3 linked regions of the Canis lupus familiaris genome follow. The protein of the gene in region 2 purifies or fractionates together with the protein of the main gene of each other region. This does not show direct contact. Links are inferred from orthologs where the notes say so. Each region holds a gene or a part of one and is shown on either strand. Other genes may lie near its edges.

Region 1 (3,642 bases), on a different chromosome or scaffold from region 2:
AAATTTCTCTGGTGGTTTAATCAGTATGGCAAGAAAAAAAATCCCTCTGTGGGCTCCTTATTATTTATTTAGGCAGATCAAAGGGCTTTTCCATCTAGCTTCAAACACTGTGGGAGTCATTTCAGATTACAGACAATACTGGTGAATGAGTTCTGAAAATAGCTTTCCTGGGAAGGCGGGCCTTGTGCTAAGCAGGGCTTCAGATTCTGCTCCACACCCCAGCCAACATACTCCCCTCCCACAAGGCAACAGACGTCAGCCCATCCACATAAAGGACAGAGTCCCACTGACTCTTACATGCTGATGGGAAGAGTAAAACAAAAATCCTCAGCTTCATTGACATTTTGCTGGCTTGAATGGGTTTCCACTAAGCTAAGCAGTCCAAATGACCAACCCCTCCCTCGGTCTTCCGCTTCATTGGGCAGATGGGAATCAGGTTCTCGCTCTCATTTAAACCGGAAGTGCCCTGTCCATTGCCCCATTTCCTGTTCTAAGCCACTTATCAGAACTTAGGCTCCTGCCCTTTAAAGCTGCACACAAGAGGTTGAAAAAGGTTAGGAAATCAACCTTGGTTAAGAGGGAAAAAAAAATCCTAAACTGGACAAGTTATGGGTGGAGCCCAAAGTGAATTGCTTCTGGCTGTAAAACAGGACAGGGGTGGGGAGGGTGGGGAGGTGGGGGGTGATGAAATACCAGGAAATTCCAAGGTGCATTCCCTTATTCCCTTACCTTCACCTTACTCCCACCCCCTGACTGCCTTCTCTCCTGAGTCACTCAATGAATTTCAAGCCAAGCGGTTCTTTCCCAAATAAGTGAAGAGACAGGAGGCAAAGAGTTAGATGTCAGAGAGATCACAGGCCTGATCTGGAAAAAGCACCCCCACCCACCCAGGTCCAGGGACTTCAAACCTCAGTTATCCATAATTACCCAAGGTAACAGGACAGGAATACCACATAAAACTGTCACCGTTGTTGGCCACAGTGGAATCCTTTCCTCTGCCCCATATGCTGAATGACTACCGATCAGAGACATGGCCCCAACAGTAACAACAGGAACAACAAACAGAATCATGGAATCGTAAGGTCTGGTCGATACAGCACTGGGACAATGGGCCTCCAAATCCTGCAGAAGTACATTTAGGAATAAGTGAATAACATGAAATTGTCCTCCTGAACCAATGACAAGTAGCAAAGAAGTCATGGGGATATTATTCTCTCTGCATCTTAGAATCTGACCCAAAGTTCTATGTAACATGATGGGAGTTTAATTTAGTTGTCCAAAAACATGGCAGGCAACTAACAAATGCTCTATGGAGGAAAGACGGAGCAGCCCAGAGTTCATGAACTGCAAGGATGTCCAAGGCAAGTGACATTCTGAACCTGCACATATCCGGCTCCCCCCACAGTAATATCTAGGTGTTGGTTTAGTGTCCGAAAGAATCATAGTAATTCTGCAGAATGATTCGTTCCTAAAAAGAAGTGATGAGCATTCTGTGGAGGGGAATAACTGACAGGGATACGATATTCCAGATTAACGTTCAAGATAATTTGCTTCTGCTCCTCAAGGTAGGGCTTAACAACTCACAAGAAGAGGAACACGGACCCTTTCTTCACAATCCCAGGAGATAGGACAGCATATAGCTGTAGAAACCAAGACTTGCGTTCCTGTTCATCCACTAGGCAATTGGGGCCATGCTCAACCTACAAAGTCAGGGGAATGTTACTACAGCACTAATTATGGCTGAAGGGGCTAGAAATTCAGATTCGCAGGAAATTTACTAAGCCAGGGGCCAGCCATGCACTGCAGAGTTTCTTATACCAAACACCTGCCCATTTCTTCCCTTAAGATTCCCAACACACAGCAGAAGCTGGTTGGGGATGAGGCCAGGAAATGACAGAAAGGGAACTCTCTTACCTGGCTGCTCCATACTCAGGGGGATGCTGATACCTCATCAGTTGCCCCTCTGTTCTCCCTGGCTGGTTCAGACGATGCTCACTATAGAAGTGCCCTGCCTCTTGGGGCTTGCACACTACAGACTGGGGTGGCATGCCCTTGAAGGGATACTCTGGTGGGGGGCCTCGATGTTCCATGCCCTTCAGGCTATGCTGGCTGGGAGGTGGCCCCTGGGCCTTGTAGAATTCACTGGAACTTGTGGGAGTCTTGTAGAGGTCACTGGGTTGTGGTGGGGAGAGGGGAGCGCTGGTAACAGGTGGATGGGCCTTAACTCCACTGGTGGCCAATGACATCTGCATTAGTCGTTCACTCAAGGAGCGGACATGTCCTTGCTTAAGATCTCTGAGTCCTTCATCCTGGTGCATCTTCCCAGGATTGAGCCGCTGAACTGATGGGCGTCCCTCAGTCCTCATCTTCTGGTTGGTCACTCCGGTGACATAGAAGGCAGCTCCAACACTGGCATGCTGTTGGCCCCGAAAGTATTGGGACTGGACCTTGGCTTCTTCATAGGTTGGGAGTTCTTCATTATTCTGCATTCTAGGGGAAAGCTGCTTCTCCATGATGATGTTTTCTGCCTGGATTTCCTGCCCCTGAGGTTCTTGTCGAGCAGCATGAGCCACAAGCTGTTGGTGGTGGTCTTGGGGACTCAACACATCATTCTGAGGGCCTGGGTTCCCACTGCTACTGGGAAAAGGAGGGCCATTCCCTGTGGCTTGCTGGTGTATGGCAAGCAGGTTGCGATTCTCATTGGGATTGCCATAGCGAAGCTGCTCTTGTAGCAGACGCTGCAACACTGTGGTTCCTCCACTTGGCTGTTCTTCAGAATTTCTCATCTCTATTGCTGGTGGTGCCTTGTGAAGAGAGAGAGAAATTGGGCACCTGGGCTGCCCTTGACCTGGGAAGGGGAAACAGGAAGCTTAACACCCAGTTGATGGATAAATCATTCCTCTAAAGGGGAAGAAAATGGGTATTTGGGGGTGAGGATTCCACTCCAGAGACAAAGTAGAGAATTGAATCTAGAATTAATGGATTAATTGTTGGTGACTCCTGGCTCTACCATTGATATGATGAGGAACTCAGGGGCATAAGAGCTCATTGTTTCCTCTTTTTGCTTTTAGCATGAGTTAAATATCCAATCTTGACTTAACTTCTACGAGAACTGGGGAGACCTGGAGCAGTCGGGGAGGGTGACCAGAGAGGGCAATTTTCCTAGGTCCTTACTCAGAAAGTTCATCTCTCTGTATTCTATTTAAATAAAAGGTCCAACTCTTATGGGCCGTGGGACTTGGGGCAGGCCAGTAGGGAGAATGTATAGGCAGGATCTGTAAAGCAGGTCATCATGTGGAGGGAGCTACAAAATGCCAAATAATAACTAAAATAAATACAAGGTGACGAGAGCTTCGCTTGCACCATATAGAAATGATCCCAGCTTGATGCAACTCGTTTTCTCTGATCTCATAAAACTCTGAAACATAGCTTTAAAAAAAAATCCTTTCTGTATTGTCCATTTTGGATTCGCCTTGGCTTAATAAGAGAAGGGCTTGAGATAATTACTATTGACAAAGTTTCTCTTTCAGCCATCCAGGAATAGTCATTGAGGTTTTTTGGTTTTTGGTTTTTGCTGTTGTTGTTTGGCTAGGAGGAGCTTAAATGGGAAGCCCTCTTTCATGTGAAGTGTGCCTCTGACAG
Region 2 (4,155 bases):
AAGAAAGTGAGAGGCTCAGTTAAATGCCACTATGTTCTTAATTCCTCTCCAATACTTGTCAATCTGCCTAAAAAACAAAGGCTGGGCATACCTGTTGCTGGGTATGGGCAAGCTACCGTACAGAGCTAAAATATAATGGCACTGGGTTGTTGGTTTTTTTTCCCTCCACTGTTTTTTTTTTTTTTTTTTTGAAGATCCTTTCTATTTATGACAACAGATAATACTAGTTTCCCATTTGTGAAAGTGGTTAAAAATTTTTCATACTGAGGGGCACCTGGGTGGTTCAGTCAGTTAAGCATCTGCCTTTGGCTCAGGTTATGATCCCAGGGTCCGGGGATTGAGCCGCATGGTGTGCTCCCTGCTCAAAGGGGAGCCTGCTTCTCTCTCTCCCTCTGCCCCTCTCCCCACTCATTCTCTCCCTTTCTCTTTCTCAAATAAATAAAATCTTTAAAAAAATTTTCACGTTTAGTTGATTTAAAGTCAAATATTAAGTAAGCAATGGTACAAGTCAATATAGCAGAAAATCATTATGGTGGTTCATATGGTACTAAAATTTGAAAAATAATACTCTAGCCAAGTCAATTTTCCACTTGTCCTTTTCCAGGGGTAGAAAATTACCTGTTGTTTGAGAAGCTTTCTAGAGCTGTATTCCTCTCAGAGCCCCAGAGAAGTCCCTAGATTCACAACCGAGGGTGAGTTAGCAACGCTGGGTGTGGGGCTGTCCTAGTCCTCTGACATGCAACTGCTGACAGCACACTGGCCTCAGTAAGTTGCAAGGACCAAAACCAGGCAGGAAACAGAAGACTGAACTTATGTCTCTTCTGGAAGAGAACAAGGGGCTGCCCAGTTCTCCAACACGTAACAGCGTCCCTGGGACAGATGACCCTGAGTGGGGCAGGGAAGAGAAGTGAGTCAGGACAAATCTGGAGGTTAGAACTTCAGAGATGGTAAAGAATCTGGCATATGGTGAGTGGTGGAAAGATGAAGATATTCAAGTAAGTCACACCTCTGGACCTCAAATTTTCTCTTATGTTTGAAAATAAGAGCTGGGCTCTGATCATCTATGTCCCTTCCAACTTTCAGAGTTCTACGATTACTTCTCTTCCAAACAAACCATTAATCTGACCAACGGGGAACCTGAGGCTCAGAGGTTAAAGCAGCTTGCTCATGGGATGCTTTCTCTAGCATTAAAAATTTATCTTCCAATGCCACCAGACTGACTCAGTTGGTAGAGCACCCGAATCTTGATCTCAGAGTGGTTGAGTTCAAGCCCCACAATGGGCAGAGAACTTTTCCTTTTTAAATTTCTCTTCTAAATTATATCAAAGAGGCATCCAGCGTGGTACTGAGAATAAAGCAAGCACCCAAGAAATGTTAAATGAGTGAACTTAGAGCGCTCACAGAAATTACGGGGCATCTCAATTCAAATTTTCTTTCTGCCTTTTTTTAAAACCCACACCTTGCTACACACCCCATCTTGGACTTCTGGGACCTGCATCCCAACCCTACAGGTCGAAAGATCCAAAAAATTCACCTCTATTGCGTTACAGGCACCTGACACTCAAGGTCGCACAGACCAGGTGAACATTCCACATTCCTAAGACACTGACCACAGACCAAGCCAACAAGGACAACAAAGCAATCTCAGAGGGTGGTCCTCTTCCTCCCCTTCTTCCCCCCACCCCTACATGGGGAGGGTGTGTGCAAAGAAATGACAAGCAATCAAAACCGGGAGAAAGTCTGGAAGCTCTGAGCAGTCACCTCAGACTCCACCTGCCACAGAAAAAATAAAATAGAATCCGTGCTACAGTCGCTTGGTGCCCACCAAGGTCAGGACGCGCTGGTGCAGGACTGAGGAGTCTCGGTCCCCAGAGGAAGAAAGGGTGGAGAACGAGGTGATGGGCAGGGCTTTGTGGGAGGCCTCTCACCTCCATCTATATCCTAACAGCTTCCAAGTTGCTCTAAGATTCCTGGAGAACCAGTCTTCCGATCAGCCCTCCCCCGCCCTCTTCCTTTCCTTCCCACTCCCGGCCTCCAGGCCCCCTGGCTGCTCCCGTGCTCTTCCCCGAGCCTCCCAGGCACCTGTCAAAGACCACACTCCAGGCTGCCTTCCCCTCCGCCTAGTGTCCTTCCAGCAGTTTCCCACTGAATCCTGGGTCCCTACTACCCCCTCCAAACCAGATGCTTCCCCATCTCCCCCCGGCCCCACACACACACACACTGGGGAAAGCCTCTCCGGGAAGCCCCAGAAACGCTCCGCTAGGCTGCTGCCCCAGCCCCCGCCCGACCTCGTCCTAAAGGGGGCGGGGGAGGCGGGGCTAGAGCTTAAGGTCAAAACTCTGGGCAGGTGCCGGCTGGGGCCTAAGTCCTCCATCGGGGACGGCGGCGGGGGCCGCCCGGGCCCCTGGCCGCGCCCCCCTCCAGCAGCCCACCCCGGCGGGAGCAGCGCTCCAGACGGCGGGCGATGGGGATGGGGACGTGGATGGGGACGGGGGCGGGGGGGGGGGGCGAGGGCGGCGGGGGGGCGGCCAACTGAAGAAAGCGCAAGCGGCTCGCAGAGTTCCCCGGCGGCCCCTGCCCGGTCCCCGCGGGTGGCCCCTGGGGCAAGAGGGGGCCCGGGCGGAGCGCGCGGTGTGGGGCTCCCCGGGGCCCTACCTGTCCCGCGGGTCGATCCAGCTGGTGGTGCGGCTCGTGTGGTCTATGTAGTAGACCTTGCCGTCGAAGTCGCGCGCCTCCTCCCAGCCCTCCGGCAGGGGCAGCTCCGGCCGGGGCATCTTCCCGAGCGCGGCCCGCGCTCCCCCATGCAGCTCCCGGCCGCCGCGGGGGCCCCGGCTCAGCGGCTCCGGCCGGCCGTGCCCAGCCCGGGCGGCCGCCGAGGCACCATGATGGGGGGGGAGGCTGGCGCCCGCGGACTGGGGGCCCTAGTGGGGGCCGGCCCGGGCGGCGCCGCGGTCCATGCGGCCCTGCGGCTCCGGCCCGCCGCTCCCGGGCTCCCGCGCTCCCGCCGCCGGCCTCTCACGCTGCCATGTGCGCCCGCCGCGGCGCGGTGCGGGCCCGGGGACGCGCCCGGCCGGCGGGGCAGAGCGAGCCGAGCGCCGCCGCCTGCTCCCCGCCGCCTGCTCCCCGCCGCCTGCTCCCCGCCTGCTCCCCGCCGCCTGCTCCCCGCCGCCGCCGCCGCCCCCTGGCCGGGCGCCCGAGCCCTCTCCGCCGCTCTGCGCCGCGCCGCTCTGCGCCCGCTCGGCGACTCCGGCCTCCGCCAGGTGCGGCTCGGGCCGTGCAGGTAACCGCGCTGCCCCGGAAACGGGAGGCGGAGCGCCGGGCGCCTGGGCTCCCGGGTCCCCTCCCCGCGCCCGGCGCTGCGAGGGCGGATCCTAGGACCCGAGACGCGCCCCCTCGTGGGACTGTCCGGACCGCCCGCAGCCCCGGTAGCCGGGAGGGGGCACCGCCCCTTACCTGGGCCCCGGACGCGCGCGGGGGCCCGGGTGGCCCGAGCAAGACCCGCTCGCCGCTGCTTCCCCGCGCTCCCGGCTCTCCACCTCGCGCCTAGGCTCTTGGTGCAGGTGGCCCCAAACCCTAAAACTCCCCGCTTCTCTTTTATGTAGAATCAGGAGCCAGACAAGAAGTGGTTAAATGGAAACATTCTTGCGATTCAGGGAACAGAAGTTTTCCTGGATCTCTGATCCCTTCCCCCAACACACGCACCATCTGTCTCCCTCTCCTTCCATTCTTCTCCCGGTGTGGTTTCACTGTCTCCTCTACCCTCGTAGTTGCTAATGTAGCTGGCTGTCCTCTGGGTCCCTAAAACTTGGAGTATATGCTATGAATCCCCTCCCCCCGGGGCGGCATCCAAGGGGTGCCCGGGGAAGCCTTTTGTAAAGTAACAGTAACAGGGTCTTGTGAACTGAATGGAGTCCTTAGCCCGTCCCAGGCGGGAGGCTAGCAGCGTCATGTGTGCTTCCGTCCTATGATACTTGGAGGTAGGTACGTTATGGATTTGAGGGAAGAAGAAAGCAAAGCAAAATTCCATTTTGAAAACTATTAGAAGAAATTTTAAAATCAGTATTTCTTGAGAAATTAAAGATATGTAATTAAGTATAAAAAGATGAGACCCCAGAGTTAAGGATCTACGGGCTCGTCTGTTTCCTGAATGTTAGT
Region 3 (4,217 bases), on a different chromosome or scaffold from region 2:
TTTTAATCCTCTCTGTACCAAAACTTGGTTTCTCTCGTTCTTTTTTAATCAGCTCAAGCAAGTAATGATTTAATTGGCTAATGAACTATTTCATCTTATCTCTTTCCCTTGCCTTCTCTCTTTAACGAAGTGCACAGCATAGCTCTGAGGCTCAGAATGAGTTCAGATTCTACACGACCATTGGTGACGAAGTCTAGAAGTTCAAATGCAGCATAGCAGGTGAAAAAGAATAAGAATATGGAATCCAGGAGGGGTTCACTGTGCAATCAAAGGGTTTATGTTTGCTTCCCTGGAGCAAAAAAAAAAAAAAAAAAAAAAAACAAAAAAAAAACACATAAACCCTTAATAAGGAGGGAGGGCATTAGGAAAAAAAAAAAAACTCCTCATAGTTTTTGACCCCTGGCCCAGTCATTCAGGACAAATACCAATTCTCCTAAAAAATTCTGATTTTTTTCCGAAATTCTTTAGGTTCTTCCATATTAAAATAGTCTAACTGTTCTCTTTCCATTACAGCTGTCCGGCCCACACAGTGTGCACAAAGCTGAATAACTAAAGTGTGAATAATAACTGTGTCTAAGCCAATGATGGAAGCCGGGCGAGCACCAGGATTAGCAAGAAAGAGCTTCCCTTCAGCCATGTCTCTCACGCAGGCCCTATACCTCCAATAAAACTCCTGTCAAGGGGCTGTTCTTGAGATAAGAGAAAGTGTTTGTGGAGGGGCTTAGCCAAACACCCCCAAGTTGTTCTTTTTCTGCTCCTCCGATGTACTGGCCTGAGTTCACCGAGGCTGGACCTCAGCCACGGTGAATACTACTAGGACTCCACTTCAGCCCAGTGAAGAGGCACCCCTGAAGGGCAACCCACGTACAGCGTGCTTCCGTCTGATAAGGAACCTTCCTAGGCAAGATCTGCCCAATCCTGGACCATCAGGCTACAAAACCCGATGGAACAGAATTCGATTTTATAAAGTTTCAGAGGAAGGAAAAGTATCCTTACAAGTGTGCTAAAGCAACATTTGATGACATTTACATGTAGAGAAAACTATGACAAACACAGGGACACCCGTCCATGGGCTCATTCTGCGCATCTGTGGCCACCCATTCAGATCAGGCAAAAAGAGTGTCATGCTGTGCAGCTCCCACTCATTTCCAGCACAGGAGCTTTTAACCCCAACCCCAAAAGATAAGCAACTTTAATGCAAGGTTCTGTGATGCTGCAGTATTATCACCCACTGCTGTCAAGTGGCTCTTTAAAAGGGAATCAAGTGCCATTCTAATGAAAACAGGCATGGGCCAATTAGTGCCAATTAAAATTTAGATGGTCACACAATTGCTGCTTGTAGAAACTGCATCAGACAAGGAGGTGTGTCCGAAGAGAGAGACTTAGGCGCCTCTGGAAACTACTTGGTTACCGTAAGGGGATAAAACGCTTCTAGTTTCATTTCTGATATCTATCATATCCCAAATAGCTGGGTCAGATAGCTAGCTTTTTGAACTCTTTTTTTTTTTTTTTTTTTTTGGATGACTCTTCATTTTGCACAAGCTGTTTCTTCCACCTGGAATGCACTCTCCGGATCACTCCTGCAAGGTAAACACTCCCTTAACCCTATAAACCCAGGGCACACGGTACCCCTCGTCTCCAAAACCAAGCCTTCCCTGCCTCTTCCAGCACTTCTCGCTCGCTCACTACTGTAATTCTTCATCAGCCTGTGGGTTTCCTCCAGGAGGCTGCAGTTACAGCTTGTTTAAGTATCTCAGCATCCTGTTTTCCGAGCAGAGTAGAGGCGCAACACCAGGTTTGCTGAATGAATGGGTGAACTGATCCAGTTTAAGAAATTAACACATTGGTGGAAACCCTGCGACCCTATATTCGGCCTGCAGTCTAGAGATTCCGCACATCTTCACAAAGAGCCTGCAACACCCAGTTCCAGGACGGACTGAAGCGCAAACCCCACAATCTCCTTGATTTGTAGGTGGGGTTGGGGTTGGGGTTGGGGTTGGGGTTGGGGTTGGGGGGGGGGGGTGACAGGAACCAAAGGAAGCGGAAGGGGATGCTAAGGAGATGGCACCAGTACCTGAGACTACTCCCTCCCCAAGGTGTAAAATCCACTTAACAAGTATTCAAACACTCAGGTTTAGGGATCACGCCAGGGAGAACAGAGAGGCGTACTAACAGCCCCCTCAGAACTTGTGAATACTCAGAACTTTGAAAAGTTTGAGGTGCGGATCTGTTGCGAAGTTATGTGGCCACAGGCTTTCCCCACGAGCCAGCCCGACCGACCACCCAAGGAGGCCAGGAGTCCGGGGGCACGGCCGGGGCCTAGTGGGAGGGCATTAAAAACTCCCCTCGCTCCCAGGATCCCGACCCCCTCCCCAGGAGGCGCTGGGAACTGGGGCGTCGGGGAGCCGCGTCCCCGTCCCGCTGGAGCCACAGCAACCTCGTCCTCCTCCCTTCCCTCTGCCCTCAGCGCTCGGCTCCGTCCCGCTGCCCTTTCCAGGCCCGCGCTCGCTTCCCAAACAGCCGGAGGGAGCCGGGAGGAGGGGGCGAGGGGGTGGCGCGGCGGCGGACCCGCAGGCAGCGCCCCGCGGCCACCTCCACCCCCGACAGGGCGAGCACCCAGGGCCCCGCGGCCCGGCCGCCCCGCGCCCCCGCTGCCCCGCCAGCCTCCCGGCGCCGGTCCAGGCTGCCCCGGTCCTCGGCCAGGCGCCCGGGGCCCGAGGAGGCTCCCCCGCCGCAGACGGCGCCTACCTGCTCACATGGCCCCGTCGTGACCCGGGGTCCCGCGCGGAAAGCCTGTCCCCGCGGCGGCGGCGGCGGCGGCGGCGCCCCAATTCCCTAAGGAATTGATTCCAGTGGCCGCGGAGGAGGGCGGGGGAAGGAGCCGGGGCCGGGGCCGGGGCCGGAGCAGGCGAAAGGGGAGGGAGGTTTCCGCTGCGATCCCCGCGCACCGACCCGGAGAGGAGGAGAGCCACCTAAGCCCGGGGTAGTCCCGGGGAGGGGGCGGGGGGCCGGGAGGAGGGGTGAGGTGGGCGGGGGGCCGGGAAGAGGGGTGAGGTGGGCGGGGGGACCGGGAGGAGGGGTGAGGTGGGCGGGGGGACCGGGAGCAGGGGTGAGGTGGGCGGGGGGGACCGGGAGCAGGGGTGAGGTGGGCGGGGGGGGGTCCCGGGAGGAGGGGTGAGGTGGGCGGGGGGGTCCCGGGAGGAGGGGTGAGGTGGGCGGGGGGGTCCCGGGAGGAGGGGTGAGGTGGGCGGGGGGGGTCCCGGGAGGAGGGGTGAGGTGGGCGGGGGGGGTCCCGGGAGCAGGGGTGAGGTGGGCGGGGGGCCCGGGAGCAGGGGTGAGGTGGGCGGGGAGGGCCGCCCGCCGCCGCCCGGGACTCGGCTGCTCCCCGGGGACCCCGCCGGGCCGAGCGAGGGCGAGCGCGGCAACCTGCCCCGGCCCGCGCCCCGCGGCGCCCGCTCGTCCGGCGGAGAAAAAGTTGGGCAGAACTTTCCGGGGCCGCGGGAGCCCGGGCGGCAGGAAATGCGAGCGGCCGGCAGGGGAGGGAGGAAGGGGCCGTGCGGTGGGAGGGGACGGAGCAGGCGCCGGCGGCCGCGGCTCCCCCCGCCCCCCACCCTCCACCCCGGGCCGGGCCGGGCGGGGCGGCGGAGGCGGGGGCGGGGCGCGGGGGGGGGAGCGCGGGCAGGAATGCGCCCGGGAGGCGCGCGCGCGGCGGGGCGCGGGGCGCCGGGCGGTGGGCGCGGGGGGCGCGGGGCGCCGGGCGTGGGGCGCGGGGCAGCGCCGAAACTCGGAGCCGGGGCTCCCGGGCTGCAGGCGCGCCGGCCGCGGGGACGTCACGGCGCTGGAATCCGAGGAATGCCGGGCGGCAGGAGCTCCCCGTGCAGGCCCGGGAGCAGCCGCGCGCCGGCGGTGCGGTGGCTTTGGGGAAACTGTTGAAAGGTGACGGCTGGGGAGGGAGGACGGGTGACACTCCCGGGAGCCCGGGACGCGGGAGCGGAGGAGGACAAGCGCCCGCGGCCGGCACTGCCTAGCGCCGCTCCCGGCGGGGGCGGGGTGGGGGCGGGGACCGGGACCCGGACCTGGACGGGGGCGGGAAGGGAAGGGAAGGGAAGGGGAAAAAAAAAAAAAAGAAATCCCCCTTAGACCTTCCAGAACCGCAGGGGCGGGGCAGAGGCCGCGGCTTGCGCGCTCAGACCGTGAGCAAGGACAGTGCGTCCCAT

Evidence for each region.
Region 1: the proteins of WWC1 (region 2) and AMOT purify together in Homo sapiens (affinity purification with mass spectrometry; 3 studies listed by BioGRID and IntAct, with this or other methods). This does not show direct contact. The link is inferred for Canis lupus familiaris from reciprocal best matches to the Homo sapiens genes WWC1 and AMOT.
Region 3: the proteins of WWC1 (region 2) and PTPN14 purify together in Homo sapiens (affinity purification with mass spectrometry; 7 studies listed by BioGRID and IntAct, counting the BioPlex papers as one, with this or other methods). This does not show direct contact. The link is inferred for Canis lupus familiaris from reciprocal best matches to the Homo sapiens genes WWC1 and PTPN14.

What each region holds. Positions count from the first base shown.
Region 1 is NC_049260.1:86,453,548-86,457,189, forward strand, and holds part of AMOT (angiomotin), read right to left. Parts: intron 2,849-3,642; 5' UTR 2,787-2,848; coding exon 1,915-2,786; intron 1-1,914.
Region 2 is NC_049225.1:44,320,797-44,324,951, forward strand, and holds the start of WWC1 (protein KIBRA), read right to left. Parts: upstream 2,837-4,155; 5' UTR 2,775-2,836; coding exon 2,656-2,774; intron 1-2,655. UniProt on the Homo sapiens protein: Regulator of the Hippo signaling pathway, also known as the Salvador-Warts-Hippo (SWH) pathway.
Region 3 is NC_049228.1:12,374,983-12,379,199, forward strand, and holds the start of PTPN14 (tyrosine-protein phosphatase non-receptor type 14), read right to left. Parts: upstream 2,842-4,217; 5' UTR 2,749-2,841; intron 1-2,748. UniProt on the Homo sapiens protein: Protein tyrosine phosphatase which may play a role in the regulation of lymphangiogenesis, cell-cell adhesion, cell-matrix adhesion, cell migration, cell growth and also regulates TGF-beta gene expression, thereby modulating epithelial-mesenchymal transition.